Linked DNA regions of Anolis sagrei. The protein of the gene in region 4 binds, or shares a complex with, the protein of the main gene of each other region. Links are inferred from orthologs where the notes say so. Each region holds a gene or a part of one and is shown on either strand. Other genes may lie near its edges. The genes, in order: NSMCE1, NSMCE2, non-structural maintenance of chromosomes element 3 homolog and NSMCE4A.

Region 1 (7,973 bases), on a different chromosome or scaffold from region 4:
GGCTGTATGGCCATGTTCCAGAAGCATTCTCTCCTGACGTTTTGCCTGCATCTGTGGGTGGCATCCTCAGAGGTTTGATTGGAGGTATGTGGGAATGAGACAAGAGGGGTATATATATATTTGTGGGGTGTCCAGGGTGTGAGGAAAAACTCTTTTCTGTTTGAAGCAAGTGTTTAAATTTTGCAATTAGTTAGCTTGATTAGTATTGATTAGCCTTGCAGATGGTTGTCAGAGTGGTCCAGCATTTTAATGTTCTCAGATAATATGCTGTGTCCAGGTTGGTTCATCAGGTGCTCTGCTATGGCTGACTTCTCTGGTTGAAGTAGTCTGCAGTGCCTTTCATGTTCTTTGATTCGTGTTTGGGCATTGGTGTGTTTGGTGGTCCCTATGTAGACTTGTCCAAAACAGCATGGTATGCAGTAGACTCCTGCAGAAGTTAGAGGACCCCTCTTGTCCTTTGCTGAATGGAGCATTTGTTGAATGTTCTTGGTAGGTCTTTGGGTTGTCTGTAGATTCATTAGCTTCCCTATGCAGTCAGTGGCTCCCTTGACGTATGGTAAGAACACTTTCCCTCTAAGTGGATCTTTCTCTTTACTCTGTCATAGCATACCCATTAGCCTGTAGAGCCCAGTTTAGATGGTTTAGTTCACCTTAAAGGAGGTGGGAATACAGACAAGGCTGTGATGTCCAGCATTTTGAACAGTGACAGAGGCACTGAGTGGAGGTGCAAAAAGAGGGACCAAAAAGCATTGAGGCACTGAGTGGCACCAAACCAGGAACCAAGAATGGCACATCTTTCTCATGCCTGGCTTCAGGAGCTAAGCAGAGCCAGGCATGGCTACAACATGGGTAGGAGAGGGCCTCAGAGCATCCCCCCCTTTGTCAAGGGCCCCATGATTGGTTTGTTTTGGTGTCACCCTCAGTCAGAAGAGGCTTGAAGGCAACCAGCCATAGCAACCACAAGCCCAATGCCCAGGAAAGGAGCCCCAGAGGGAAGCTTAGGGACCCCGATTGCTGTCACCAGCCAGAGGGATATTGGGTCCAAAGTACCACCACTTTGTACTTTGCCTGGAAACTAATTGACAGCCAGTGGAGTGACTTTCGAATAGGTGTAATATGCTCATTTCTAGATGTTTCCATAATGAATTTGGCTGCCATATTTTGAATCAGCTGGAGTATCTGACCTTGGTACAAGGGTAGTCCAATGTAAAATGCACTGCAGAAGTCTGACCTTAAGGTGACTACCATCTTCAGGTCCACCAAATCTATAAAGGGGTGCGGCTGTCAGATCAGCCAAAGTTAGTAGTAAGCCCTCTGACTATTGTCGCATCTCCCTGGGCTGACATTTGGAGAGACGGATCCAGGAGAATCCCAAGCTGCGGACACAGTCTTTCAGGGGGAGTGGGATCTGTAATATATGTAAGCTTCACTTGCCTCACTGAAAACAGAACCTCTAAAGATGTTGGGCACAGATGCAGACAAAATGTCAGAAAAGAATGCTGCAGGGACATGGCCAAGCCTGTAGCCAAGGGGGCAGTTTAGGGGTTCAACTACCCCCAAAATTTTTCAGGTAAAAAAAACCAACCAGGTTTACTCATGAATTTTAACTGATTAACCAAATCCTCCTGCCAAGTCAATGAAAAGCAGAAATGGGAGTCTCTCCAGAACTGTAAGCACTATCTCAATGCAATTTTGATTATTCACACTATCAATACCTAGCTTTCTACCAATTTACATTGCAATAGCAGCAATATTTGACATAGTGGAAGCTGCCAAAATGTGGTAGCCACCAGGCAAAGCTTAAGGTGTGGGACTGTGGGCGGGGGGATTTGACCTGGATTGCAGGTGAAAACTGAGGAAACGGGTGTCCACCACTGGTCCATTTCAACCCAAATGGTTCAGCAGATTTCCCTGGTTAGCCTATTCATGTCATGTACAAGGTGCACTCTGCAAGTACGGTGCGGTGCTTGGAGGAGAAATTGGAAGTAAAGGTGGTCATCAGAACCTTGGTGTATTGGTTGCTAGACAATTTGTGTGATGGGAAATTGCAATAGACATCTTCAATAGACACCAAAAAACAGAGTACCATCAGAACAACTTGTGCTTGGCTAAAAAACCCTTCCTCGTTCACTGTGGAAAATGTCTTGATGAGAAAGGAAATCAGAAGGAAGAACAAGAAAACAGAAAAAAAATCTGCCTTTTGTGGAAACTATTGTCCTTTGTAGCAGACAAGAACGGGCTTAAGGAGAGAACCGTGATTCAGGACCTATTACCTGTGAAGAGGGAGCCCTCGGTGGCGCAGTGGGTTAAACCCTTGTGCTGGCAAGACTGAAGTCTGACAGGTGGCAGGTTCGAATCTGGGGAGAGCGTGGATGAGCTCCCTCTGTCAGCTCCAGCTCTCCAAACGGAGACATGAGAGAAGCCTCCCACAAGGATGGTAAAACATCAAAACATCCGGGCAACCCTGGGCAAGGTCTTTGCCTGCGGCGAATTCTCTCACACCAGAAGCGACTTGCAGTTTCTCAAGTCGCTCCTGACATGGAAGAAAAACCCCTGTGAAGAACCTTTGCTTAATGATGCAAAGGGCCTTGTTGTTGAAGAGAGACTGATCTAAAAAGACATCTTGGGTGGGGGAAAAATTCAACCGCTCACATTTTTTTTTCTGGCTACGGGCCTGACTCCATTTGCCTCACTGCCAATAGAACCTCTAAAAAACTCATTAACCAGAGATGCAGGCGAAACGTCAGGAGAGAATGCTGCTGGGACATGGCCATACAGCCTACAAAACTCACAGCAACCCAATGCACCTGGGTTTCGACATGACTCCTCCTCTCACCGCGGTGGGCCTCGCAAGCCAGGCGCTGCAGCTTCCGCGCCCGCTCCGCCTCCACCAGGCCCAGCCCCAGGAGCGCCTGGAGCAGCTGCCGGTGCGCCTCCGTCATCATGGCCGCGGAAGGAGGAGGGGAGGAGGCCTCCGAGGGAGGAAGCGGAAGTGGACTGCCTTCGCCCCGCCCCCCCCCGCCCCTCCCCCGTTGCTGTGCTGCCTCAGAGAGATGCCCAGCGGAGGGAAGGGAGGATGGCGTCCACCTCTCCGGGGCCCTTCGGCCTCTTCCTCCTCCTCCTCCTCTTCACCGCCTCCTCCTCGTCAACCCTCGCCCCGTCTTGCCACACGGACTTCTTTGAGGCCTTGACCTGCTCCTGGGAGGTGCCCCCTTCTTCCGACTGCGGCGACTTCCGCCTCCTCGTCGAGCCCCCGCGGTAGGTAGGCCTTGCCTCGAGTGCGCATGCGCGCAGGGTGGGACCCCTCATCATTCCCCCTTCCTTTCCCAGGGAGACCTGCCTTCCGGTTCGAGAAGATGGTCGGTGCCGCTGCCTCCTCCACAGGAAGGATTTCCGCTACGTTCGGTTCTGCCTGAAGCTGGAGCAGAGGGAGGGCGCCCGGTGGAAGATCGCCTGGAACGCCACGCCGAATGCCGAAGAGTTAGGTGAGGGAGAAGGGGCCCCTCTCTTTCCGGAAGTGCTGGCCTTCAAGGGGCCTCGCCCTTTGAAAAAGAAAAAGCCAGGCAGAACCAAGGACAACTCCTTGGCAGCTGGGGCTGAAGGCAGGCCTGGGCCAACTTGGCCCCTCTGGGTGTTTTGGACTTCTACTCCCACAATCCCTAACAGCCGATAAAACAACTTCAGTTTATTTATCGTGTCAGAAGCAAATTGAGAATCTATATATATAAATCTGTTAGGTTGGTTCAACGGGACAGCAAAACTCCACAACCCCCCAACGAAACTGCACCAAAATTGCCATGCCCCAAGGACAACCCACTCGGTACAAACTAATCCATTCAAAATTGAAAACAACACAACCACACACAGAAAAAACGGCAAAACAACTGAGCATGCGCACTGGTGCAAAGTCCCCAGCGCGCGCGCTCACATGGCCAAACGGCCAACGCACCCTCCGCACTTCCCTCCCTCCCTTGCCCCGCCCAGCACGAACACGTCGCCGCCCACACACACACACACACACAAACAACGGAACTTCCCCCCCGCCACCTTCCCTCCACCCCCTTCCCTCCACCCCCTCCTTCATCTTACCCCCCACCTTTGTCTTCAAAGTCGCCCCCACCCTTCACCCCCATCCCTTCCCTCCCTGACTCACTCCTCCCTCCCCCTCCGGAAAGACACGCCCCCTCCCTTCGCCCCAACCCTTCCCTCCGTGACCTTGAGTATGGGAGTTGTAGTTCACCGACATCCAGACAGCACTGTGGACTCAAACAGTGATGGATCCGGACCAAACTTGGCATAAGCATTCAATACGCCCAAATATGAACACAGATGGAGTTTGAGCGAAATAGACCTTGACATTTGGGAGTTGTAGTCACTGGGATTCAGAGTTCACCAACACTCAAAGAGCATCCTGAACCCCACCAACGACAGAATTGGGGCAAACATGCCACACTGAACCCCCATGACCAACAGAAAATGCTCAAGTTTACACACAAGCATAAAGAAGGGAGAGGAAGGAGGGATGCCAGAGGGGGGGGGGGGGGGGGGAGAAAGGAGTGTGAGAGAGAGAAAGAGGGAAAGAGAGTGAGGGAAGGAAGGAAGAGAGGCCAGGCAGAGACTTCAAAACTCTTACTAAAGGCCACAGCAACGCGTGGCAGGGCACAGCTAGTACAGTTATAAAGTATTAAAAACCATAAACAAAGTTAAAATCTTGGCATTATGATCAGAAGCTGGCCATTTGGGAGTGCCTCTGGTGTCACTATAACAAGGTCCTCCATTGGCAGGGCTCAGGCTGCATTGTAGTAAGTGGTCTGTGGTTAGCTCTCCCCCACACTTGCATGTCATGGACTCCACATTGTAGCCCTGTTTAAGGTTGGCTCATGGTGCCAGAGCGCAGCCTGTTCAGCACCTTCCAAGTCTTCTGTGTGCCCAGGAGGGAGTTTCTCATCCAGACTCAGCCACTGATTGAGATTCCGGGTTTTAGCCTACCACATTTGGACTCTTGCTTGCTGAGATGTTCCTGCAAGTATCTCTGTAGATCTTAGGAAGCCATTTCTTGATTTAAGTCATTGGCATGCTGGCCAATATCCAAACAGAGAATGGGCCAGGGATGTCAAGAACTCCAATAAACATATTAAATAAACATAATAAATAGAAATAAATATATCTTCCAGAGAGATAACCCAGATGCGCTGTTTGCATTCTGTGACTTAAGCATTGCTTCAGGCCACAGAAGCTGAACAGCAGTGATGGATTGCCGATTAACATCGGAAACCACAGAAAGTGTCAAGAAAGGATGGGTTGCTGAGTCATCCAGGAGCCAGGCTCAGGCAGCAGAAAACAAAGAGGCAGCAACCACTGCAGAGCCAAACAGAGGAGGAAGGAAGGGGGATTCTGGTTGAAGAGTCTACCCATCTCAACCTTCTCTGCCCTGGGATTCAGGCAAGAGGCCTGAGAAACCTCTCCCTCCCTTTTCCCTCCTTCTCCACCAGTATTTTGCATGCAGACGTTCCAAGGGGAGGCAGGGCAGGTGAGAATCCTGTTCTACCTGCCCCCACCCCATTTATAACAATACCATTACTAAATTTACATCTGACATAATTGTGGTGGGGCTTCTTCTCTCTGAAGGGGAGGAGCCTGCCTATCAGGATGAGGTAGATCAGCTGCTCTCATGGTGCAGGGACAATAATCTGGTTCTTGATACCAATAAGGTTATAGGTTTAGGGGCTTCCCAGGCCCTTTATCTTCTCCTCCCTCTCTGCAGTGAAGCCTCGTCCGATGGTCAACCTGACAGCTACGAAGCAGGACCGCTCCTTCCACCTCTCCTGGCAGTGGGACTACCCCAAGGAAAGCCCCCTGGTTACTGCCATGGCCTACTTCCAGGTGTCCTACTGGCCAAAGGGCCAACTGGAGAGGGTAGGTGACCTTGTGGACCCCACTGGCCCTAAGGCGAAGGGCCAGTCGGAGGGTGAGAGAGTCCCTCTGGGTCCTGCCTCCCTCCCTCCTGGGGCTGGAACTCCACCAAAACCTGTGCCTCCCTTTCCTCCAAGGCAATCAGTGCCACCGTCCAGAAGCCGACCTACGACATCTTCGCCGACCGCCTCGAGTCTGCCTCTGACTACGTTGCCAGGGTCCAGGTCAAGCTGGAAGACTGGGGGGACATCTGGAGCGACTGGAGCCAGCCATATGAATGGCGCAATGGTGAGCGCCTCCGGGCTGCAGGGGCACCATTGCCTATTATTCATTTGCCCAAAGAGACCCCTCCCCCTCCCAATGCCCATGTGGGGAAAGTGAGGCTTATGATAAGGGGGATGGGGGTCTTGCCTTCCGGATTTTTTAAAAATGAATTTTATTATTATTTCCAAAGTGTACACATTCTAACTACTGATATACAAAGCCACCAGTCAACAGTAGTAATTTTACACTTTCCAACAGTAAAACACACGTAACCCATTTAAAAGAAAACTTCCCAACCCTACGCTAAGATGGCGTCTTACAACAGTTTGTCCTATCAAGCAATGTATATTCATATAAATATATATATGTAAATTTTACAAAATGTATTCAAAAGTGATCTAATTATACAACATGTATTTTTAATCACTCAACACTCTTGTAGATCAGTTTTTAAATGTTCTAATTATATATTGTGCAAAAGGTTTCCAATTATTTTGAAAACATTGTATTATTTTATTTCTAAGAAGACAAGTTAGTTTATCAACTTCTGCAAAATTTAGCAGTTTGGTCCACCATTCATTTACAGATGGAATAATACTTTCCTTCCAGTGTCTGGCATAAACTATTCAAGCAGCTGTTAGTGGGTTTTGGGGGGGGAAACCCAATATTTTCCTTGTTGATGATATCATTTACCAGTCCCAACAAAAATATTTCTGGTGAAAACAGTATATTCTATTGTAAAATATGCCTTCTAGATTTTGAGCCAGGAGAGGAGCCCTGGAAGCTGGCGCTGTGGTCCTGCATCCCAATTGTTGCCATGATCCTGACCTGCTACCTCTGCCTCGCCAGGTGAGTTGCAAAGTGGGATTTCAAGAAGCAGCCTCGGCCAAAGAAGTGGTCAGGCTATCTCCTCTTCCTCCAGCCAAGCACCGGATCAAGTTTGTTTGTGGAACTTGCTTTGCAGGGTGAAAAGGGACTGGTGGGATCGGATCCCAAGCCCTGCCAAGAGCAAGATGGCCGAGAGCCTGGCCAAGGTAGGAGCCGCCCCATGGTGGGAGGGCGAGTGGGCTTTAACGGCGTCGCTCCCTTTGGGGTGGTCTGAGGCAGATGTCTCATCCTGAAGCTTCTCCTCAATCTTCCAGTTTCCTCCTGGGAAGCAGATCCCACACAAAAGGAAGACACTCCTGCCAGGACCAAGCAAAGGGTGAGCTCATCAGCTGCACAGTGATGTGAAAAGTCTCTGATCCCATTCTTCCCTGCTGCCAGGAGGGTGTCGCAGGAAAGATCCCATCAGACAATGGGAAATGATCAAGGGGCAGGTGGAGCCCATCCTGACCTGATTTTTTTGTTCTGCACAGTACTTGAGCCTTATGTCTATGTGTTTTCTCCCCCAAACAGAATTGGCAAGGGCCTCCAGGGTGTCCCTCCAGTACTCCAGGAGGCAGACCCTGGCTCCAGACCAAAGGCCTTCCTGATGCCAGAGGTGGCAGTGGTTGAGTCCCCTCTGGTGGTTTGCAGCCGCATGCCTGAGACCAAGACCGAGGGTTTCCTCAAGGAGGAGCAGGAGGAAGAGGAGCCGATTCTCCCTCGCCAAGATGCAGTTGCTGGCCTCTTCCGGGACCTTCTGGATGGAGGCTTTGGAAGCGGAGAGGCCCGGGTCCTTGAGCTTCTGCCTCCCAAAGAGCAGGGAGCCCCAATAGGCTTTTCTCTGGAAGCATCACCCGGACCCAGCTTCCAGGGCTCTGTCAATGTGGGGTCTGTGGGGAGTCTGGCCGGAACTGGACATCCTGTGGGAC
Region 2 (7,655 bases), on a different chromosome or scaffold from region 4:
TCATTTTTAGTGTCTTAATATTTCGATTTTATATTGTTGTGTTGTTTACTTACATTGGTTTTGTATTTTACGTTATTTTATTTTCTAATTTTCTGTTGTGTTTTTGTGTTATATTGTTTTTACTGTATTGATGGGCGTGGCCTCATGTAAGCCGCCCCAAGTCCCCTTGGGGAGATGGTGGCGGGGTATAAATGAAGTTTTTATTATTACTATTATTATTATTAGTAGTAGTATGGTAAGGCACCAGCACTCTTTGGCAGAGAAGGCTAAAAATAAACCTTGTAGAACAACAACTCCCACAATGTCACAACATTAAGCCACAACAATTAAAGTCGTGTGAAACTGCATTAATTCTATATTGTAGTGGGAATCATTATACTTTTCAGATATGGTTGGACTGCAATTCCCAGCAACTCTAGTTTGCATATTCAGTGGTGAGGAATGTTAAGAGTTGTAGTCCAACATCAACTACTAAGGAGGCTGTTCAGGTCCTGAACCGCTGCTTGGCCGCTGTGACAGTCTGGATGAGGGCAAACAAACTGAAATAGAATCCAGACAAGACAGAGGTACTCCTGGTCAGTTGCAAGGCCGAACAAGGCATAGGGTTACAGCCTGTTTTGGATGGGGTTAGGCTCCCCCTGAAGACACAGGTTCGCAGTCTGGGTGTGATCCTGGATTCATCGCTGAGCCTGGAACCTCATGTTTCGGCGGTGACCAGGGGAGCATTTGCACAGTTAAAGCTTGTGCACCAGCTGCGCCTGTACCTTGGAAAGTCTGACTTGGCCACGGTAGTCCACGCTCTGATTACATTCCAAATAGACTACTGCAACGCTCTCTATGTGGGGTTGCCTTTGAAGACGGTCCGGAAGCTTCAACTAGTCCAACAAACTGCAGCCAGGTTGCTAACAGGAGCAGCGCTCAGGGAACATACAACCCGCTTGTTGTGCCAGTTCCACTGGCTGCTGGTTTGCTACCTGGCCCAATTCAAAGTGCTGGCTTTGGCCTATAAAGCCATAAACGGTTCTGGCCCAACTTACCTGTCCAAACTTGTCTCCCCTTATGGACCATTGAGGACTCTAAGATCATCTGGGGAGGCCCTGCTCTCGGTCCCGCCTTCGTCTCAAGTACGTTTGGTGGGGACGAGAGACAGGGCCTTCTCAGTGGTGGCCCCTCGGCTATGGAACACCCTCCCTAGGGAGATTAGATCTGCTCCCTCCCTCTTAACGTTTCGGAGGCAAGTTAAAACATGGCTGTTTGAGAAAGTGTTTACCAATGCAGAGTAGCTAATATAGGAAATCGAACGATTTGACAATGGAACTGGACAATGCTTGATAATGAGACGCTAATGATGTTGTTTTTATTGTTTTTGTGGTGTTTTATATTGTTTAATGTTTTAATCTGTATTATGTTTTTATATGTACTAATTTGTTGGAAACTGCCTTGAGTCACCGAATGGCTGAGAAAGGCGGTTTACAAATACAGTAAATAAATAAACAAATAGAAGGTTGTATAATTTCCAATTTGTTTTAAGCACATGTGCCTTGAAGATTTATCATTATTATTACCAACTACTTCCCAATGAGAGTCTGACCAATATTGCTCAATATTTCTTCTCTTCCTGTCACTAAGGCAAGCCACTTCCCATCCGCACCCATACTGGAGTTGCATTAATTCACCATCTTTCTGCATACTAAACCTCTTTTACCATGCTTCAACATAAGAGAAAGTGTGTTATTATGCAGTTATACAAGTTTCATTCCATGTTAACTCTCATGGTTCTACACTAAGGTCTTCTGGGATCTGTAGTATGTTAGGTGCCTGAGAAGAGAGGCACTGAGGAATCAATCAGTTGAATTCTGCAACCTGAAATGGCTTAAAGGCTGCAGCTACATAGTATGGAATTGTGAAATCTGTAGTTATAGCCCTATCAGAAAAGTTAACTTATACATTAAGATTAGCAAAAAGATAAATAAAAGATCTATTTGATAACAAGTGGACACCATTCACCTGCTTCATATCCAAAAGTAATGGCAAATTCAGAACATCAAACAACCAAGAAAGACGTGGATGAACAATTAGTAAATATATTAGAATAACCAATATATGCAATGGGTGAAATTAGAATAGAACGGACAAGAGCTGCATTTTTATAATGTTGTCTAAATGATGTTGGGAAGTAAGGAACCTGTATAGGTCTGGGAACAGATGATGTAACAAGGTAAGTGTGCAATAATAATAACAATAATAAATAATATATTGTAATAATAATAATAATAACCTATCTCCCCGAGGGGACTCAAAGCAGATTCCAGCATGTAAACAGACACAGAAAAACATTCAATACCTCTGAAACACAATGGAACACAAATACAAAGGCAAAGGCTTTCCCTTTCATCTCCGGCTCTGGAGGCAGTGCTCATCTCTGGCTCTGCGGGGAGGTACTCATTTCCATTTCCAAGCTGAGGAGCCTGCGTTGTCCATACATACCTCCTGGTCACGTAGCCATGACTTCATGAAGCGCCAATTTACCTTCCTGCCAAGGCGGTACCTATTGATCTACTCACATTTGCATGTTTTCGAACTGCTAGGTTGGCAGGAGCTAGGGCTGACAGCAGGAGCTGAACTGCTAACCTTCAGGTCAGCAAGCTCAACAGCTCAATGGTTTAACCTGTTGCGCCACCATGGTGTGTGTGTGTATCTATATATAATGCATTATGTATGTGTGTGTGTGTATATATATATATATATATATATATATATATATAATAAAGTGTATAATAATAATATTAATAATAATATGCATTAATTATACAACCTCCCTGCTGGGGGCCCCAGTGGCACAATGGGTTAAATTGCTGAAGTGCTGAACTTGCTGACCGAGAGGTCAGCAGTTCAAATCTGGGGAGTGGGGTGTGCTACCGCTGTTAGCCCCGGCTTCTGCCAACTTAGCAGTTCGAAAACATGCAAATGTGAGTAGATCAATAAGTACTGCTCCAGTGGGAAGGTAACAGCGCTCCATGCAGTCATGCCGGCCACATGACCTTGGAGGTGTCTATGGACAACGCTGGCTCTTTGGCTTACAAATGGAGATGAGCGCCAACCAGAGTTGGACACGACTGGATTTAATGTCAGGGGGAAACCTTTACCTTAACCTACCAGCTGGGGCATTTTAGGGTTCGTCTACATTGTAGAATTAATGCAGATTTAACTGCCTTGCCTTAATGCTATGGCATCAAGTGAATTGTCATTTTACAAGTCTTCTGTCCCAAAGTGTGTTGGTGCCTCACCAAACTACAACGCCCAGGATCCCATTGCACTGACCCACTGCACTTTATTTATTTGTCGTGTCAGGGCAACCAGTCAATTATATTACATTTCTAACAGAACAAAGCAAACAAACAGACAAAATACAAAATTTGTGAGTTTGGTAGTTGATTAAATGTCCTTTGACCAGTATCTGGCCACTTGGAGTGCTTCTGGTGTTGCTGCAAGAAGGTCCTCCATTGTGCATGTAGCGGGGCTCAGGTTGCATTGCAGCAGGTGGTCAGTGGTTTGCTCTTCTCCACACTCGCATGTTGTGGATTCCATTTTGTAGCCCCATTTCTTGAGGTTGGCTCTGCATCTTGTGGTGCCAGAGCACGGTCTGTTCAGCACCTTCCAAGTCGTCCAGTCCTCTGTGTGCCCAGGGGGGAGTCTCTCATTTGGTATCAGCCATTGGTTGAGGTTCTGGGTTTTAGCCTGCCACTTTTGGACTCTCACTTGCTGAGATGTTCCAGCGAGTGTCTCTGTAGATCTTAGAAAACTATTTCTAGATTTAAGTCGTTGACATGCTGGCTGATACCCAAACAGGGGATGAGCTGGAGATGTCTCTGCCTTGGTCCTTTCACTATTGGCTGCTACTTCCCGGCGGATATCAGGTGGTGCAATACCGGCTAAGCAGTGTAATTTCTCCAGTGGTGTAGGGCGCAGACACCCTGTGATAATGCGGCATGTCTCATTAAGAGCCACATCCACTGTTTTAGTGTGGTGAGATGTGTTCCACACTGGGCATGCATATTCAGCAGCCGAGTAGCACAGCGCAAGGGCAGATATCTTCACTGTATCTGGTTGTGATCCCCAGGTTGTGCCAGTCAGCTTTCGTATGATATTGTTTCTAGCACCCACTTTTTGATTGATGTTCAGGCAGTGCTTCTTGTAGGTAAGAGCACTGCATTAATTCTATAGTATAGCTGCACCCACCCACCCCTGGTGTCAATAACCAACCAGTTTAATGGGGAATTATTTCCCAACCAACCCTCCCCAGTCCTTTTTCATTGCCCTGCATAGACCTTGCAAGCTCTCTTTCTACCAGGAAGATAGTAAACAAATCCCTTCCTCTTTTTTCCCCCCTCCACCTCCAATTTTGTTTTGTTATATAATTATTTCTTTCTCCCAAAAATGCAAACAGCTGACCTGATCCTCTTCCAGCAGCAGAAAAAAAACAAGAGGTTGGAATTCAGCCTGGAATTTGCAGGAAACACCCAGAGAAAATGCAAGAAGAGAAAGCAAACCCACCATTCAGCAGCCTCTTCCTCTCGCCTTGCATCACATGGGAGCTTTCTCAGGTCATGTGAACCAGGCTCTGGGTGATGCTGATCCGCTTCCCTTTTGGACAGGCTCCTCCTCCTCCTTTTCAAGAGCAAATGGGTGTCTGGATCCGGATCCAGCAGTGGAAAGAGACCCAGAGAAAGGGAGCAAAGGGATCCCCTTCTTTTCTAAGCCCTGCGCCTCCCTGCAAAAATTAAAAAAAGGAAAGGCAGCCCAAGAGCCAAGGCTTTGCAAAGTAAGAAGTTGCTGCTGGGTGGATTGGATGGAAGCTTGGATGCATCTACATTGCAGAATTAACGCAGTTTGGCACCGCTTTAACCAGGAGTTCTTGCTCTTTGAACAGCTAAAGACCTTGCAAAACTCCCCCAACTCCTCCAAATGTATTTGGACACAGCATTCCTTCCAAAACTTGTTCTAGTTATGCCAGCAAATGTTTAGTTTGAGCAAAGAGAGAAATAGTTTTGACTTTCACAATTATAAGAGAAAAAGTGGGCTATAAATCAACATAATAATAATAATAATATGTATTATTATTTGAAACATAACAAGATGAGTCCACAGCGAACAAGATCACTTTCCTGGCTGTTGTATTGGATCACACACAGGAAATATTATTATTATTAGAAACACAACAAGATTGGTACACAGTGAACAAGATCAGTATGCTGGCTTTTGTATTCAATCAGTGCAGATTGTTTTTAAGTGCAGGCCAAAGTTTTTAGGCACTGCGCCCAGTGTGCCAATCACCACTGGGACCACCTTTTTCTAGCTTGTCACAGAGTCTTTGCAGTTCTGTTTATTAATGTTACATTTATTATTATTGTTATTATTATTATTAGAAACACCACAAGATGAGTCCACAGTAGACACTCTGCTGGCTGTTGTATTGGATCACACGTTGGACACTTCCCAAGTGTCTAGTCTTGGTGAATAATGCGTGCAGATCCCAGTAGGGTGGCCTTCTGCAGCTGGCCGATGGTAATTTTGTCAGTGCCGATTGTGTTTAATTATTATTATTATTAGAAACACCACAAGATGAGTCCACAGTAGACACTCATCTTCCCAAGTGTCTAGTCTTGGTGAATAATGCGTGCAGATCCCAGTAGGGTGGCCTTCTGCAGCTGGCCGATGGTAATTTTGTCAGTGCCGATTGTGTTTAATTATTATTATTATTAGAAACACCACAAGATGAGTCCACAGTAGACACTCTGCTGGCTGTTGTATTGGATCACACGTCGGACACTTCCCAAGTGTCTAGTCTTGGTGAATAATGCGTGCAGATCCCAGTAGGGTGGCCTTCTGCAGCTGGCCGATGGTAATTTTGTCAGTGCCGATTGTGTTTAAGTGCAGGCCAAGGTCTTTAGGCACTGCACCCAGTGTGCCAATCGCTGATCAGGACCACCTTGACTGGCTTGTGCCAGAGTCTGCAGTTCGATCTTTAAATCCTCATATTGTGTCAGCTTTATTTATATTTATTATTATTATTATGGAGCCCCCAGTGGAGCAATGGTTAAACTCCTGTGCCAACAGGACTGAAGACCGACAGGTCACAGGTTCTAATTGGGTTCCATGTTGGGAGGAAGGTGGGATGCCAATATAATAAATGAATACAAATATATAATAATAATACATATATTTTTCCCCCAGGAAATTAGACCAGAATGTCTAGCCAAAGTGTGGTCTCCTTTGCCGGCGTGGATACATGCCTTTCCTCTCTGAAACACTGCCAGTCCTATATAAGTACCGGAATGGAGATGGCTACCAAGGTTGCTTTTGACCTTGTGGAAAATCGCAGTGAGTTTCTCTCATTTTTTGAACAAATAGCTTTATTCTTGCTGCAATCACTTCTCAGGGTTTCCTATCTGTCCTGGAATGCTCAGGGAAAGAAATGAGCGCTATCCATCTTTAATGTGTCGTTGAAGGCTTTCATGGACGGTATCAATAGGTAGCTGTAAGTTTTCAGGGCTGTATGGCCATGTTCCAGAAGCATTATCCCTTGCGCCGTGCTACTCTGCTGCTGAGTATGCATGCCCAGTGTGGAACACATCTCACCATACTAAAACAGTGGATGTGGCTCTTAATGAGACATGCTGAATTTTCACGGGGTGTCTGCGCCCTACACCACTGGAGAAATTACACTGCTTAGCCGGTATTGCACCACCTGACATCCGCCGGGAAGTAGCAGCCAATAGTGAAAGGACCAAGGCAGAGACATCTCCAGCTCATCCCCTGTTTGGATATCAGCCAGCACGCCAATGACTTAAATCTAGACATAGTTTTCTAAGATCTACAGAGACACTCGCTGGAACACCTCAGCAAGCGAGAGTCCAAAAGTGGCAGGCTCAAACCCAGCCCTTCAACCAATGGCTGATACCAAATGAGAGACTCCCTCCTGGGCACACAGAAGACTGGGCGACTTGGAAGGCATTGAACAGACTGTGCTCTGGCACCACGAGATGCAGAGCCAACCTTCAGAAATGGGGCTACAAAGTAGAATCCTCGACATGCGAGTGTGGAGAAGAGCAAACCACTGACCACCTGCTGCAATGCACCCTCAGCCCTGCCACATGCACCATGGAGGACCTTCTTGCAGCAACACCAGAGGCACTCCAAGTGGCCAGATACTGGTCAAAGGACATTTAACCAGCTACCAAAGTCACAAGTTGTGTATTTTTCTGTTTGTTTGCTTTGTTATGTTAGAAATGTAATATAATGGACTGGCTGCTCTGACACGACAAATAAATAAATCTCCTGTCGTTTCGCCTGCATCTATGGCAGGCATCCTCAGAGGTTGTGAGGTCTTTAATCCATCTTTAATCTGGTGGGAACTCGAACTCCCCTTTCTGAGTGAGAGAGTTTGGCCAAAACAGAAAAAAATAATTTCCACAGCAGTGGTTCCCAACCTGTGGTCTGTGGACCACCAGTGGTCCACAAGGACTAAAATACGGTCCGCTGCCTCACCATTACTACACTGTTGCGACAGGTCTCGCAAAACTCTTTTATAGTGCCGAGTTTTGTGTGGGATGTTTAGCCCAATTCTACTGTTGGTGGGGTTCCGAATGCTCTTT
Region 3 (6,841 bases), on a different chromosome or scaffold from region 4:
TTAAGTGAAGTGTGTGAAGTTGAAAATACTACAGGTGTTTTGTACTATGATATCACACCTAAATACAGGAAAGATCTAGCTCCATCTTCTGTCCTGTTTTTCTCTCTCAGTGAAAACCTGTACATATTGTAAGTATTGCATTAATTTTATGGGGTCAGGATAAACTACACATGAATTAAACCACACTACAAAACAACGGACACACGTTGTGTTGTTTGTAGCCATCTAGTTTCTTTTAAGAGAGGAATGCGGGATATAAATAAATAAGACAATAGTAATACCTGAGAAGGGCCAGGTCCTTTACTACTACGCCTGCTCTGTGACATCTTTCTGATGAGTTATCTGTAAAGGACAGGAAGAAAATGTTAGGTCAGATTATTTATTTATTTAGCCATATTTATACCCCACTTTTCTCTACCCCAGCAGGGAGACTCAAGGCAGCTTACAATGGCACATACACAGTGCCTCAAAACAACAAATTCACCATAAAATAGTTTAAAATTACAACATGTTTAAAATGGTTAAAATATACTCAAAGTTAAAAACACGCCATCCAGAGTTCATTCCTTGGTGAAATTGCACATAATTCTATATTTGGAATACTGCATTGTCCTAATTTTCAAAGCCTGCTTCCAGAGCCAGGTTTTGACTCTCTTCTTGAAAGCTAGTAGGAAGGAGGCTGATCTGATATTGCTAGGGAGGGAGTTCTAAAACCAAGGGGCCACCACTGAGAAGGCCCTATCTCTCATCCCCCACCAGCCGTACTTGTGAGACAGGCAGGACCGAGAGCAGGGCTTCCCCAGATGATCTTAGTCTCCAAGCTGTTCGTAGGGGAAATATACATTCGGACAGATAACCTGCTGATGGGGAAATCGTGTATATTTCTGTCTCTCAGCCAATAATAATAATAATAATAATAATAAACTTTATCTATACCCTGCCACCATTTCCCCAACGGGGACTCGGAGAGCTTACATGGGGTCAAGCCCGAACAACAAACTACAATACAAAAATACAAACTGCAGTAAAATAAACAACATAACGTTAAAGTGTAAAACATCAAAACATATAAAACAATATACACTGAACATAAAAATCAAACAGAGAATGGGCCGCATATACATAAAATGATTTAAAAACTGCGGGTGAGATAAGGGGGCAGAACTAATTGGAAGGGAGAGCTCACAGAGATAGGAAAATAAACAAACCTTCGTACAAAGGGGGGGGGGGCGCTCCTGGGACAAGAACATTGAGGGAGCAATTTCATAAAATTATGTGGCTACTCTCCAAAAGAGCAACGGCAGAGCCAGGTCTTAAGACTGTAATTTTTAAAGGTTTCTAACACAGGGGCTTTCCTGATCTCTCCGGGCAATGAATTCCAGAGTAATATTGATTTTAAAGATCAATTCCTGAAACCAACATTAAAACCTGGAGCCTCTTTCCCCTCCCACAGACTGGGCTTCTCGAGTTGGTTTTAAGCCCCTCGCTTGCTAAATTTCAACCCAGGAGCAACCATGTTCAAATATGTAAGACCAGCTAGTTCTGGAAATTTAGAGTGTATCCACACTGTAGAATGAATGCAGTTTGGCACCACTTTGACTGCAATGACTCAGTGCTATGGGCTCATGGGAGTTGTAGTTTGGTGAGGCACCAGCACGCTTTCATAGAATCAAAGAGTTGGAAGAGACCTCATGGGCCATCCAGTCCAACCCCCTGCCAAGAAGCAAGAATATTGCATTTAAAGCACCCCTGACAGATGGCCATCCAGCCTCTGTTTAAAAGCTTCCAAAGAAGGAGCCTCCACCACACTCCAGGGCAGAGAGTTCCTCTGCTGAACAACTCTCACAGTCAGGAAGTTCTTCCTCATGTTCAGATGGAATCTCCTTTCTTGTAGTTTGAAGCCAGAAAACAAGCTTGCTCCCTCCTCCCCGTGACTTCCTCTCACATATTTATATTCATTTATTTATTTATTACAGTTACTTTTACCCCACCCTTCTCAACCCCCTAGGGGGGGACTCAGGGCAGCTTACAAAAAAGGCACTATTTGATGCCTACATAGAGTACATATACATATAAAACAACAATCAGCATTTATCACAATTAAACAGTTAACAATAACACAATCATTAAAAACTAATCACAAACTCAGCATGCATTGTCCAGATTCCCTTAATTCCATTGTGTATGTCAATTCCATTCTATTGCCACGTCCTTTTTCATCTGCCAGGTTGTCTGAATGCCTGATCCCAAATCCACGTTTTCAACTTTTTCCTGAAGGAAAGGAGGGATGTCGCTGGTCTAATTTCCCCTGGGAGTGAGTTCCACAGGTGAGGGGCCACCACCGAGAAGGCTATCATATACATGGCCATCATATCTCCTCTCATCCTTCTCTTCTTCAGGCTAAACATGCCCAGCTCCTTAAGCCACTCCTCATAGGGCTTGTTCTCCAGACCCTTGATCATTTTAGTCGCCCTCCTCTGGAGGGCGACTAAAATGATCAACACATTCCAGCTTGTCAATATCTCTCTTCAATTGTGGTGCCCAGAATTGGACACAGTATTCCAGGTGTGTCCAATTGACAGTGAAGACCTTGTAAAACTACAACTCCCAGGATTACAGATCATTGAGCCATGGCAGGCAAACGGCATTTATTCTATGGTTTAGAGCAGGCCTGCAGAACTTGTAGCTCTCCAACTCCCAACTCCCAGAAGCCCTTGCCTGGCTATTTAATGGTTTGAGGCCTGCTCTAGATGCACCCAAGGCTTCTAGTTTTACAGGGACATTAGCTGTTTTGCCACAAGGTGCTGGGGCCTCACCAGACTACAAATCCCAGGATACTATACCACTGAGACATAGCAGTATTGTCCTGACTGCATCCCAACCCTCCAACAACTTGCCTAAATGCCCAGAGAGCCACTTTCCCGCCTTCCTACTCGCTGATACTAACCACCAGGACTGCCGCCGGTTTGCGCATGCGCACGCTCTATCACCCGGACTTCCTAGTGCGCATGCTCCTTCGATGATAGAGGAAGTTCTGATTAGTTTTTTTTCCTCCTGAGAGGAAAAAAACAGTGCGCATGCGCGTTTTAACTGCAGACCCTGGCAAGGAAAATGGCGGGCGAAGGTGGGAATGATGTCTCTCCTCATAAATCACTCAGTTTGAGCCTGGCATAAGTTTCATATATAAGGGCATTCTCTGCCTATTCATACGCTGTGGGTGGGGGAGAAAAAAAAATGGCCACATTATACTGTTACAGCGCTATTCTATTAATTGCCATGTCAACCACCTGGGATTTGTAGTTTAGAGCGGGACCCTGGCAAAACTACAATTCTCAGAATTTCACAGCATGTTCCCCGTGGCAGTTATGGGGTTTTTATGAATGGAAAACGAAAAATAGGGATATATTTCTAGTTCCCTAAATGGATATAAACAATAGGAACATTTTATCTAAATACAGGGTGAGGCAGCATAACTTCTTTTTCGAAACTTAATAAAACCCATTGTATGAATCAGAATTAATAATGTAGGTGCATACCTAAAGTTTTGTTTCACGTAGTTTTGAAGATCAAATTAAGTAGGTGACGTCCCCCATTCTCCATTCTCCATACACTGAGTAAACTGATTTCTGGCGTTTGTCATGACTCTTGCCAGCGTTATGTTGACAATTTTTTCCTGGATGTTGGTCTTCAAGTCTTGTAGGGTCCATGGACGGTTCACATAAACAGGATTTCAAAACACCCACAGAAAAAAATCACAAGGGGCCAAATCTGGAGAGCGGGCCGGCCACTCCAAATCCGCTCGAAAAGTAGGCCTCAACGGCAAAAGCACGCTCCTCGCTGTTCCAACGCATGATGGCGACTGAACTGTGTCAGGACAAAACTTTATACTCCCGTCTCTTGAACGAGACCACTAGCGCTCTGCTACGTCTTTAACCGACTGAATGGCGCGCATTTTTTAAAAAGTTATGCAGCCTCACCCTGTATATAAAATTATGGAAGCAACCAACTGTACCAATGACAGATGGTTGGATTCCAAATGTTTTTGAAATGGCTGAAGTGGACAAATTAATTTTACAACAAACTAATTTGCACAAACGGCAAGAAGAATGGAAACCTTTGATGGGCTTTGTAAAAAATAGTAAGATGATCATAACAGGATTTGTGAACTACAAATAATATGAGTAATATATGACTTACTTAGGCGATCCCTCGTCCGAGGATGATGATCCTCCAAGTATAGTATCCTGAGGGTGGGTCCGTAGGTGACTATGGAGCCCAATTCTTGCTCTGCGTCTTCTCCTGCAGTGAGGGCATTGGTTTCCAGGTGGAAGGCAGTCCCGGTCGGGGTTGGCTTGCGGCACCTTCCTCTTGGTACATTTCTCTCTTTCACCCTCCATTCGTGCCTCTTCAAATTCTAGAGCACTGCTGATCACAGCTGACCTCCAACTGGAGCGGTCAAGGGCCAGGGCTTCCCAGTTCTCAGTGTTTATGCCAGAGTTTTTAAGGTTGGCTTTGAGCCTGTCTTTATATCTCTTTTCCTGCCCACCAACATTCTATTTCTGTTCCTGAGTTCGGAGTAGAGCAACTGCTTTGGGAGACGGTGATCGGGCATCCAGACAAAGTGACTGGTCCAGCGGAGTTGACAGCAGAGGACCATCGCTTCAATGCTGGTGGTCTTTGCTTCTTCCAGCACACTGACGTTTGTCCGCTTGTCTTCCCAAGAGATTTGCAGGATTTTTTAAATTTTTTAAAATTTTATTTTATTTAAGTAGACATACATTTGCAAGTGTTTGTTGCATACAGTGCAATACTTGTGCAGGATTTTTCGGAGGCAGTGCTGATGGAATCATTCCAGGAGTTGCATGTGATGTCTGTAGACTGTCAACATCTCGCAGGCGTATAGCAGGGTTGGGAGGACAATAGCTTTATAAACAATCACCTTGGTATCCCTATGGATGTCCCGGTCCTCAAACACTCTCTGCTTCATTCGTAAAAATGCTGCACTCGCAGAGCTCAGGCAGTGTTGAATTTCAGTGTAAATGTTGACTTTGGTGGAGAGGTGGCTGCCAAGGTAGCAGAAATGGTCAACATTTTCTAATGTTACTCCATTAAGCTGTATCTCTGGCATTGGAGAGGGATTGCCTGGTGACTGCTGAAACAGCACTTTGGTTTTTTCGATGTTCAATAACAGGCCGAGCTTCTCATATGCTTCTGCAAAGGTGTTTAGAGCAGCTTGTAGGTCTTCTGAATGTGCACAGAAGACATTGTCATCAGCATACTGGAGTTCTATAACAGATGTTGTTGTAACCTTGGTTTTGGCTTTCAGTCTTGCCATCTGTCCCATAGATGATTTCCACTCCGGTGGGAAGCTTCCCATCAACAAGATGAAGTATCATAGCGATGAAGATGGAAAATAAGGTTGAGGCAATAACACATCCCTGTCTGACACCTGCTTCCACCTTAAATGGGTCACTTTGGGAGCCATTGCTGTCCAAGACTGTTGCCATCGTGTCATCATGGAGGAGCCGCAGGATGTTCACAAATTTGTCAGGGCACCCGATTTTCTGGAGGATGGTCTAGAGAGCGCTGCGATTCACTGTGTCAAATGCCTTTGCGAGGTCAATGAATGCCATGTACAGAGGTTGATTTTGTTCCCTGCATTTTTCTTGGAGCTGTCGTGCAGTGCGGATCATGTCCACTGTTCCTCTGGAGGGGCGGAAGCCGTTCTGGGATTCTGGGAGGGTGTCTTCTGAGAGGGGTAGAAGGCGATTTGCAAGGATTTTTGCGAGGATTTTCCCAGCTGAGGTTAGAAGGGAGATACCTCGATAGTTTCTGCAGTTTCTTCTTTACAATATATGAATGGAGCCACTGATGGTGCAGCAGGTTAAGCCGCTGAGCTGCTGAACTTGCTGACCAGAAGGTCGGTGGTTCAAATCCAGTGAGCGGGGTGAGCTCTCGTCGTTAGGCCCAGCTTCTGCCAACTTAGCAGTTTGGAAACATGCAAATAAGAGTAGATCAATAGGTAGGAAGGTAATGGCACTCCATTCAGTCATGCTGGCCACGTGACCTTGGAGGTGTCTATGGACAATGCCAGCTCTTCAGCTTAGTAATGGAGATGAGCACCACCCCCAGAGTCGGACATGACTAGACTTAATGTCAGGGGAACCTGTACCTTTAATATATGAATATGTGTTGTTGAAGGCTTTCATGGCCAGAATCACTGGGTTGCTGTGAGTTTTCCAGGCTGTATGGCCATGTTCCAGAAGCATTCTCTCCTGACATTTCAGCCACATCAATGCTTCTGGAACATGGCCATACAGCCCAGAAAACTCACAGCAACCGAATATATGAATATATTCTGTATCCTAAAACTCAAAATATTATTAAACACCCTACCCCCACCCCTAATAAAAATGTTAATAGTTAGGGATTTATACTTTTCGAAGAGCAGCAAGCCAGATTGAGATGCAGCCGTGTCCTCTCTTTTGCATAAAAATCCCAGGCCTTCCCATCATCCCCAGACTTGTCTCTCTCTTCTATAAACTATATTTTATCCCACTTTTATTCCTATATATCTATTAAACGGGTTCTGTTTTACTTATGGGACAGAAAAACATTAACCTTTACCTGTCAGGAAGCAAATGATCCAACTATTGTTTCTCATTGAGAAATAACCCCAAAGTGTGGCTCAAAACAAAGGAGTCTGATCATTTCAATATTCTCGATGTGTGGTGGCCTGGAAAAAAGGAAATCTGCATAAGCTCATTATCTTCAGGATTAAACACCCAAAGACAAAAATCAGTAACTATCACATTTTTATCCACTCCTTGCTGTACAATTT
Region 4 (7,330 bases):
GATTCTGAAAATTATATTGGATAGATCACATCAGCTCAAGTTTCTGACACAGAACATATGCCATCCAGTAGTCACCATCTGATCACCCACAGAAAAGCATATTTAATAATCTAGAGCCACAGACCTTATTTTAGATCTTGCAGCCCACCTGTGGGCTGTGGCCCATTGCTTGGGAACCACTGATTTAGACACTACACTCCTACTGATGCATTCTGAAATCACATTGGTTTTTCTTTTAGCTGCTGTATCACACCAAATGATTTAGTAGCTTGTGGTCTACCAAGGCTCCCAGATCCTTTTCACATATACTGTTTTTAAGCCAGGTGTCACCCATGTTATATCTGCATTTCATTTTTCCTGCCTGAGTGTAGCACCCTACATTTCTCTCTACTGAAATTCATTTTATTGTGTTTCCCTCCAGCTCTCTAACTTTTCAAAGTTGTTTTGAATTATGATCATGTCCTCTGGAGTATTAACTAGCCTTCATAATTTAGTGTCATCTGACCACTGGTTCCTATGTATACTATTAAAAAAAATCTAACTTTCTCTTCCTTCCCCCATACTTTCCATTGAAGAATTAGGAAATCATAAATGTTTACTAGTATTTAAACAGCTTGTCCTTTTCCCAAAAAAGGCATTGCTCGAGAATCAACAAGACTCCATGCATAATAAATAATCCCACCTTTCTCTTAGACACACACAGTAGCAACCCCTAGGGTTTCAAAGTTGAAAACTACAAAAAATCTCCTGTATCTTTATTAGTGATCTAGAACACCATAGAGTCATGAAACATTTTGCAGCAGTAAAAGGTCTCTGGGTACTTCCTTTGGGCCCCATGGTGGTTCAGCTGAACTTGCTGACTGAAAGGTTGGCAGTTAGAATCCGGGGAGTGGGGTGAACTCCTGCTGTTAGCCCCAGCTTCTGCCCACCTAGCTCTTCAAAAACATGCAAATGTGACTAGATCAATAGGTACAACTTCTGGGAAAGGTAATGGCTCCATGCAGTTATGCTGGCCACGTAACCTTGGAGGTGTCCATGGACAATGCTGACTCTTTGGCTGAGAATTGAAGATGAGCACCCCCCCCCCCCAGAGTCAGACATGACTAGACTTAATGTCAAGGAAAACCTTTACCTTTGGCACAAATTTAAAAGTTATATAGAACACAGTATGTCCTTTTATCTATCCTATGGGTGGTCTTGATGAGAGTATGGGATTTATGTAAGCGCTGTTTTACCATTCAAGAATTGATTAAATGGGTCTGCTCTTATTGGAACTAACAAATCAGTTTCAGGCCAGGATGTTTCTTCATGTGGTCGATGGAATCATTATGCTGTATATGTGCTAATGAGTCCATCCCAATTATTTTTAAAAAATAAAATCACTTCCCTAAGAAGCTATGTGGGAAAAAGATAATTAACTTTTCTACTTTTCCTTGACAGCTATTCCTTATGTCAAAATCGATTCCCCTAAGATGCTACAAGGAACAGTAGTAGTAGTAATTTTATTGATTAGCCCTTAGGCCATATCACAATAAGAAACAGAACAACAAGGCCTGACAAGACCTGATCACACTCCACGTAGAAAGTTAAAATAAGACACTTATAATAATACAGTAAATACATATGTTAAGACATGATAAAACTGATAAACTGATCAAGCTGAGTATATACATCATATTTCATTATCACCCCTACAATTTACCCCAATCAGCCCTACGTAGCAAGTGTAGTTACAAGGAACAGATTTTAACCAACAGAATACAGAATGGGGAGGAATTATCAGGTTACATACTCCTTGGATGCATCTACACTGTAGAATTCTGTTTGAAACCACTTTAACTACCGTGGCTCAATGCTATGGAAGCTTGGGATCTGTAGTTTGATGAGGCACCATAACATTTTGACAGAGAAGGCTAAAACCTGTAAAACTACAACTCTCATGATTCCATTGCCTTGAGCCATGTCAGTTATAAAGTCGTGTCAAACTGAATTAATTCTACAGTGTAGATGCACCCTTAATTCAAAAACAAAAATCACAAATGTATTTTCTTTGAGGCTCATTGTATCTTGATTCTTTTATGTAGATTATCCTGGTGGCTTAATTAAGTGTGTTCACCATCTCCCTCTGCTGGATACATAAAGCTAGAACCATTATTTAAATCAACTTCAAGTTATATTGAATACAGTATGTCCTTTTATCCTAATCTCTGCTAATTTTATAACCCCCCTTTTGTTGTTTACCTTTTTGTAAGAGAAAGGGGAAACAAACAACAACAATAGTAATGCCTAATTTTCAACGGGGCTTTCTTCCCATGAAATGTGTTTACAATTATGACAGCTTTGATCGATCTCTCCGAACAATAAATAGCTTTCAAGAATTAGCAAAACAAATTTTCCTCCACAAGTGTGGAGGGTCGTCTGCGCAGCTATATTGTTCTCTTATACATCTTGCTACCCAAGCATTATAAATAATAGAATATCATTTATTCACATTGCCAACTTGGCATAATGTTTTGAACATTAGACTAGTATCGCTATGAGGGTTGCCATAAGAAAGGCTCTCTGGATGTGAATGGATTACAACTCCCATCATGCTCTGTCAAGTCTGCCTGAAGCCCTGCCAGTATTTTAAGTTGGTCATGAAGGGTATGTGTGTCAAGTCTGAACTGGATCCATTGTTGGTGGATTTACATGACTCATTGGAATCTGGATGGACTATACCTCCCATCATCCCTGTCATTGATCCCTTAAAAATATTGGTAGTTTAAGCTGTTCATAATGGTTATGCATGCCAAGTTGGGTGCAGATCCACCATTAGTATGATTCACATAGCCCTCTAGATGTGGCTAGACTACAACTCCCATTATCCCATCATTGATTCCTAAACCATATTGGTGGTTTAAGGTGGTCATAATGGTTATGCATACCAGGGTTGATCCGGATCCATCATTAGTATGATTCACATAGCCCTCCAGATGTGGCTGGACTACAACTCCCATCATCCTCTGCCATTCAACCCCCCCCCCCCCCCCACACACACACACACACCAAATCATGCTGGCAATTTAAGCTGGACATAATGGTTATGTGTGCCAAGTTTGATCCAGATCCATTATTAGTGAGATTCACACAGCCCTCCAGATGTGGCTGGACTACAACTCCTATCACCCCATCATTGCTCCCTAAAGCATGTTGGTAGTTTATCAGATCATAATGGTTATGTGTGCCAAGTTTGATCCAGATCCATTATTAGTGAGATTCACACAGCCCTCCAGATGTGGCTGTACTACAACTCCCATCACCCCATCATTGATCCCTAAAGCATGTTGGTAGTTTATCAGATCATAATGGTTATGTGTGCCAAGTTTGATCCTGATCCATTATTAATGAGATTCACACAGCCCTCCAGATGTGGCTGTACTACAACTCCCATCACCCCATCATTGATCCCTAAAGCATGTTGGTAGTTTATCAGATCATAATGGTTATGTGTGCCAAGTTTGATCCAGATCCATTATTAGTGAGATTTACACAGCCCTCCAGATGTGGCTGGACTACAACTCCCATCACCCCATCATTGATCCCTAAAGCATGTTGGTAGTTTATTAGATCATAATGGTTATGTGTGCCAAGTTTGATCCAGACCAAGCATTACTGAGATTCACTCCAGATGTGTGTCTGGACTACAACTTCCATCATCCTCTGTCATTCACCGCTAAACCCTGCCAGTAGTTTAAGCTCGTCATAATGGTTATGTGTGCTGAGTTTGATCCAGATCCATTATTAGTGGGATTTACACAGCTTCTGCATGTGGCTAGACTACAACTCCCATCATCCTTTCAAACCCCCAGTAATTTAAACTGGTAATGATAGTAATGAGTGCCAAGTTTGATCCAGATCCACTATTGGTGGGAGTCGTACATTGCTCCAGATGTGGCTGGACTACAATTCCCATCATCCTGTCAATTTCTCCCCTCCCCAAAATCCCACCAGTATTTTAAATTGGCCAGGATAGGTCTGTGTGCCAAGTTTGGTCCAGATTCACCAAGCTTTAAGGGAGCCTTTGTGGTTCAAATATACAAACAAACATGTAAACATACAAATATTCCATATTTTGACTTTTATAGGGAGAGATTATGTCTTCTATTGTTTTTGCTGTAGTGACACAATTCTATGCCTTTCAACTCCAACGGGATGGCAAGCCTTTGTTTTTGTTTGTTTTCTTGCAGCCAATGAAGAGGCGCCAATATACAACAGAGAGGCTAAGTTTTGAACATAGAGTTACTACTCTAGAGCGACGTCCATCCAGCCGCTGGTTTCACTTTAGCCGGAAGTGCTATTGGATCCTATTCATTCCGTGGCATCAAACGTCCGCTTGGCTCTCGGGCCCCTTTCTCTAAGGTTCCGCCTCGCCGGAAGTCGCAGGTTAAATAACCGAGCGAGGCGGGAGAGCAGCCATGGCTGAAGGGAAGGACCGGCCTGCCGAGGAGATGGAGAAGAAGGGCAGCCCAAGGAAGAAGAGCGGGGCGGAGAAGGAAAGGAGGACTTGCATCGGGCAGGAGACGGACGAGACGACGCGGCGGCTGCTCCGCCAGCAATACCGGCAGCTGATCGCCAACTGTCAGGGTAAGTGTGGCTTTCCCTACCTTTCACGCATCTGCACTGTGGGATGCATGTGGTTTGGCTGCCATGGCCTAATGCTATGGGATCTTGGGAGTTGTAGTTTCGCAAGACCTTTAGCTTTCTCTGTCCAAGAAGGCTGGGGCCTCATCAAACTACAAAGCCATTTGATTCCATAGCACTGAGCCTGGAAAATGTAAGTGTCAAACTGCATTCATTTCAAGTCTGTATTATATTACTCCTTGGAATAGTAATAATAATAATCTTTATTTATATCCCGCCACCATCTCCCCAATGGGGACTCTGCGAGCACAGCATTTTTCCGAATGAAGCAGAGAGTGTTTGAGGACCGGGACATCCTAGGGATACCAAGGTGCTTGTTTATAAAGCTATTGTCCTCCCAACCCTGCTATATGCCTGCAAAATGTGGACTTTCTACAGATGTCACATGCAACTCCTGCAGCAATACCATCAGCACTGCTTCTGGAAAATCCTGCAAATCTGAGAAGACAGGCGGACAAACATCAGCATGCTGGGAGAAGCAAAGACCACCATAATTGAAGCGATGGTCCTCCGCCATCAACTCTGCTGGACCGGCCACGTTGTCCGGATGCCCAACCACCGTCTCCCAAAGCAGTTGCTCTACTCTGAACTCAAGAATGGAAAACGGAATGTTGGTGGGCAGGAAAAAATAAAATTAAAGATGGGCTCAAAGCCAACCTTAAATACTCTGGCATAGACACTGAGAACTGGGAAGCCCTAGCCCTTGAGCGCTCCAGCTGGAGGTCAGCTATGACCAGCAGTGCTGCAGAATTTGAAGAGGCACGAATGGAAGGTGAAAGAGAGAAACGTGCCAAAAGGAAGGCACGTCAAGCCAACCCCAATCGAGACCGCCTTCCACCTGGAAACCAATGCCCTCACTGTGGGAGAAGATGCAGATCAAGAATAGGGCTCCACAGTCACCCACCAGAATACTGATCCTTGAAGACTATCCTACTCGGCCATGTTCGTTTGTGGGATTAACAGAACTCAAAAAACACTGGAAGAATTGACACCAAATTTGGACACAAGGCACCTAACAACCCATTGTATGTCCTTCACTCAAAAAATTGATTTTGTCATTTGGGAGTTGTACTGGGAATTATAGTTTACCTACAATCAAAGAATATTCTGAACCCCACCAACGATGGATTTGAAGCAAACTTGTCACACAGTTCTCCCATGACCAACAGAAAATGCTGGAAGAGTTTGGTGGGCAGTGTCCTTTGTTTTTGGAGTTGTTGTTCACCTACATCCAGAGATCACTGTGGACTCAAACAATGATGGATCTGGACCAAACTCTACAAGAATACTCAATATGCCCAAATGTGAACACTGGTGGTATTTGGGGAAAATGGGATTTTGACATTTGGGAGTTGTAGTTGCTGGGATTTATAGTTCACCTACAATCACAGAGCATTCTGAACCCCACCAACAATAGAATTGGGCCAAACCTCCAACACAGAACCCCCATGTGGGCCACAGCAACGCGTTGCAGGGGATGGCTAGTATATATAACAGAGTAAAATAGTGCCCTTTATATAAAATGGCAAAAGTAAAAGAAACCATCATTTGCTGCATCTTCTTTTCAGCACCAAAATGATGAAATAAAATGGCCTTGTAACAGTACATTAACAGTACGAGGCTAAAGACCGTATAAAACTACGGCTTCTAGGATTCCACAGCATTAGGGCATGGCAGTTAAAGCCATCATACATTGTCAACGTCAGAAAAGAACCTTCCGTAGAAAACCTGAGCATCTTCCATGGCTCTCTTTTTCAGGGCACTGGGCTCCAGAATCCCCTTCAGATTCCCAAATTTGGATGCTAAAGGCCCATTATATACAATGGTGTAGTAAAATGATTAAAACCAAGCTTTGCTTTTGAGATTCTTATAAAAAATTAAATCCGGATGGTTGAATCCCATGATGTGGATATGGAAGGCCAACTGTAATTAGTCTGAAAGGGTTGCTATTCCTGTTTTTCTCTCTCCTAGGATGGATCTATTATATTACAATATAATGGCATAGTACAATATAGTAATATATAATACTGATATTGTACTATGTTAATAATATAATATATTGTATGTATATATATCTATATCTTGTAAGCTGCTCTGAGTCTGCTTCGGGGTGAGAAAGGCGGCATATAAATGTCATAAATAAGTAAATATTTACCACACTTTTATCCCACCCTTTTCAACCCGAAGGCGACTCAGGGCAGCACACAGACTGGCAACAATTAGATGCCAAACACACATAAGTACATCATTTAAAACAGGTTAAATCACATAATGAAATTCATATAAAAATAATTTAAAACTATAAAAATCAATGACTTCCAGGTTAAAATCCATGTCCATATTCGTTCGCAATACTGAGTTTGTCTGGTTACAATGAGGTTCCAAAAGCCTGCACAAAGAGCCAGGTTTTTACTCTTTTCCTAAAGATCAGGAGGGAGGTAGCCGATCTAATATCCCCAGGAAGGGAGTTCCACAGCCGAGAGGCCATCATTGAGAAAGCCTGTCTCCCGTCTCCGCCAAGCGAGCATCTGTGAGGCAGGCAGGATCGAGAGCAGGACCTCCCCAGATGATCTTAAATTCCTGGAAGGTTCATAAGGGGAGACACATTCAGATAGGTAAGTTGGGCCGGAACCGTTTAGGGCTTTAT

What was found.
Region 1: NSMCE4A (region 4) and NSMCE1 share a complex: the UniProt entries of both Homo sapiens proteins name them as parts of the SMC5-SMC6 complex. The link is inferred for Anolis sagrei from reciprocal best matches to the Homo sapiens genes NSMCE4A and NSMCE1.
Region 2: NSMCE4A (region 4) and NSMCE2 share a complex: the UniProt entries of both Homo sapiens proteins name them as parts of the SMC5-SMC6 complex. The link is inferred for Anolis sagrei from reciprocal best matches to the Homo sapiens genes NSMCE4A and NSMCE2.
Region 3: NSMCE4A (region 4) and non-structural maintenance of chromosomes element 3 homolog share a complex: the UniProt entries of both Homo sapiens proteins name them as parts of the SMC5-SMC6 complex. The link is inferred for Anolis sagrei from reciprocal best matches to the Homo sapiens genes NSMCE4A and NSMCE3.

Annotation. Positions count from the first base shown.
Region 1 is NC_090034.1:22,524,851-22,532,823, forward strand, and holds the start of NSMCE1 (non-structural maintenance of chromosomes element 1 homolog), read right to left. Parts: upstream 3,002-7,973; 5' UTR 2,946-3,001; coding exon 2,837-2,945; intron 1-2,836. Other genes in the region: IL4R (interleukin-4 receptor subunit alpha), read left to right, coding at 3,077-3,258, 3,331-3,485, 5,765-5,916, 6,051-6,201, 6,933-7,026, 7,142-7,211, 7,320-7,381, 7,576-7,973. UniProt on the Homo sapiens protein: RING-type zinc finger-containing E3 ubiquitin ligase that assembles with melanoma antigen protein (MAGE) to catalyze the direct transfer of ubiquitin from E2 ubiquitin-conjugating enzyme to a specific substrate.
Region 2 is NC_090024.1:19,390,628-19,398,282, reverse strand, and holds the start of NSMCE2 (E3 SUMO-protein ligase NSE2), read left to right. Parts: upstream 1-4,649; 5' UTR 4,650-4,822; intron 4,823-6,234; 5' UTR 6,235-6,248; coding exon 6,249-6,381; intron 6,382-7,655. UniProt on the Homo sapiens protein: E3 SUMO-protein ligase component of the SMC5-SMC6 complex, a complex involved in DNA double-strand break repair by homologous recombination. Is not be required for the stability of the complex.
Region 3 is NC_090022.1:172,853,819-172,860,659, forward strand, and holds the start of non-structural maintenance of chromosomes element 3 homolog, read right to left. Parts: upstream 3,013-6,841; 5' UTR 2,948-3,012; exon of another isoform or gene 2,898-2,947; intron 343-2,897; 5' UTR 327-342; coding exon 282-326; intron 1-281. UniProt on the Homo sapiens protein: Component of the SMC5-SMC6 complex, a complex involved in repair of DNA double-strand breaks by homologous recombination. The complex may promote sister chromatid homologous recombination by recruiting the SMC1-SMC3 cohesin complex to double-strand breaks.
Region 4 is NC_090023.1:200,308,099-200,315,428, forward strand, and holds the start of NSMCE4A (non-structural maintenance of chromosomes element 4 homolog A), read left to right. Parts: upstream 1-4,322; 5' UTR 4,323-4,457; coding exon 4,458-4,626; intron 4,627-7,330. UniProt on the Homo sapiens protein: Component of the SMC5-SMC6 complex, a complex involved in DNA double-strand breaks by homologous recombination. The complex may promote sister chromatid homologous recombination by recruiting the SMC1-SMC3 cohesin complex to double-strand breaks.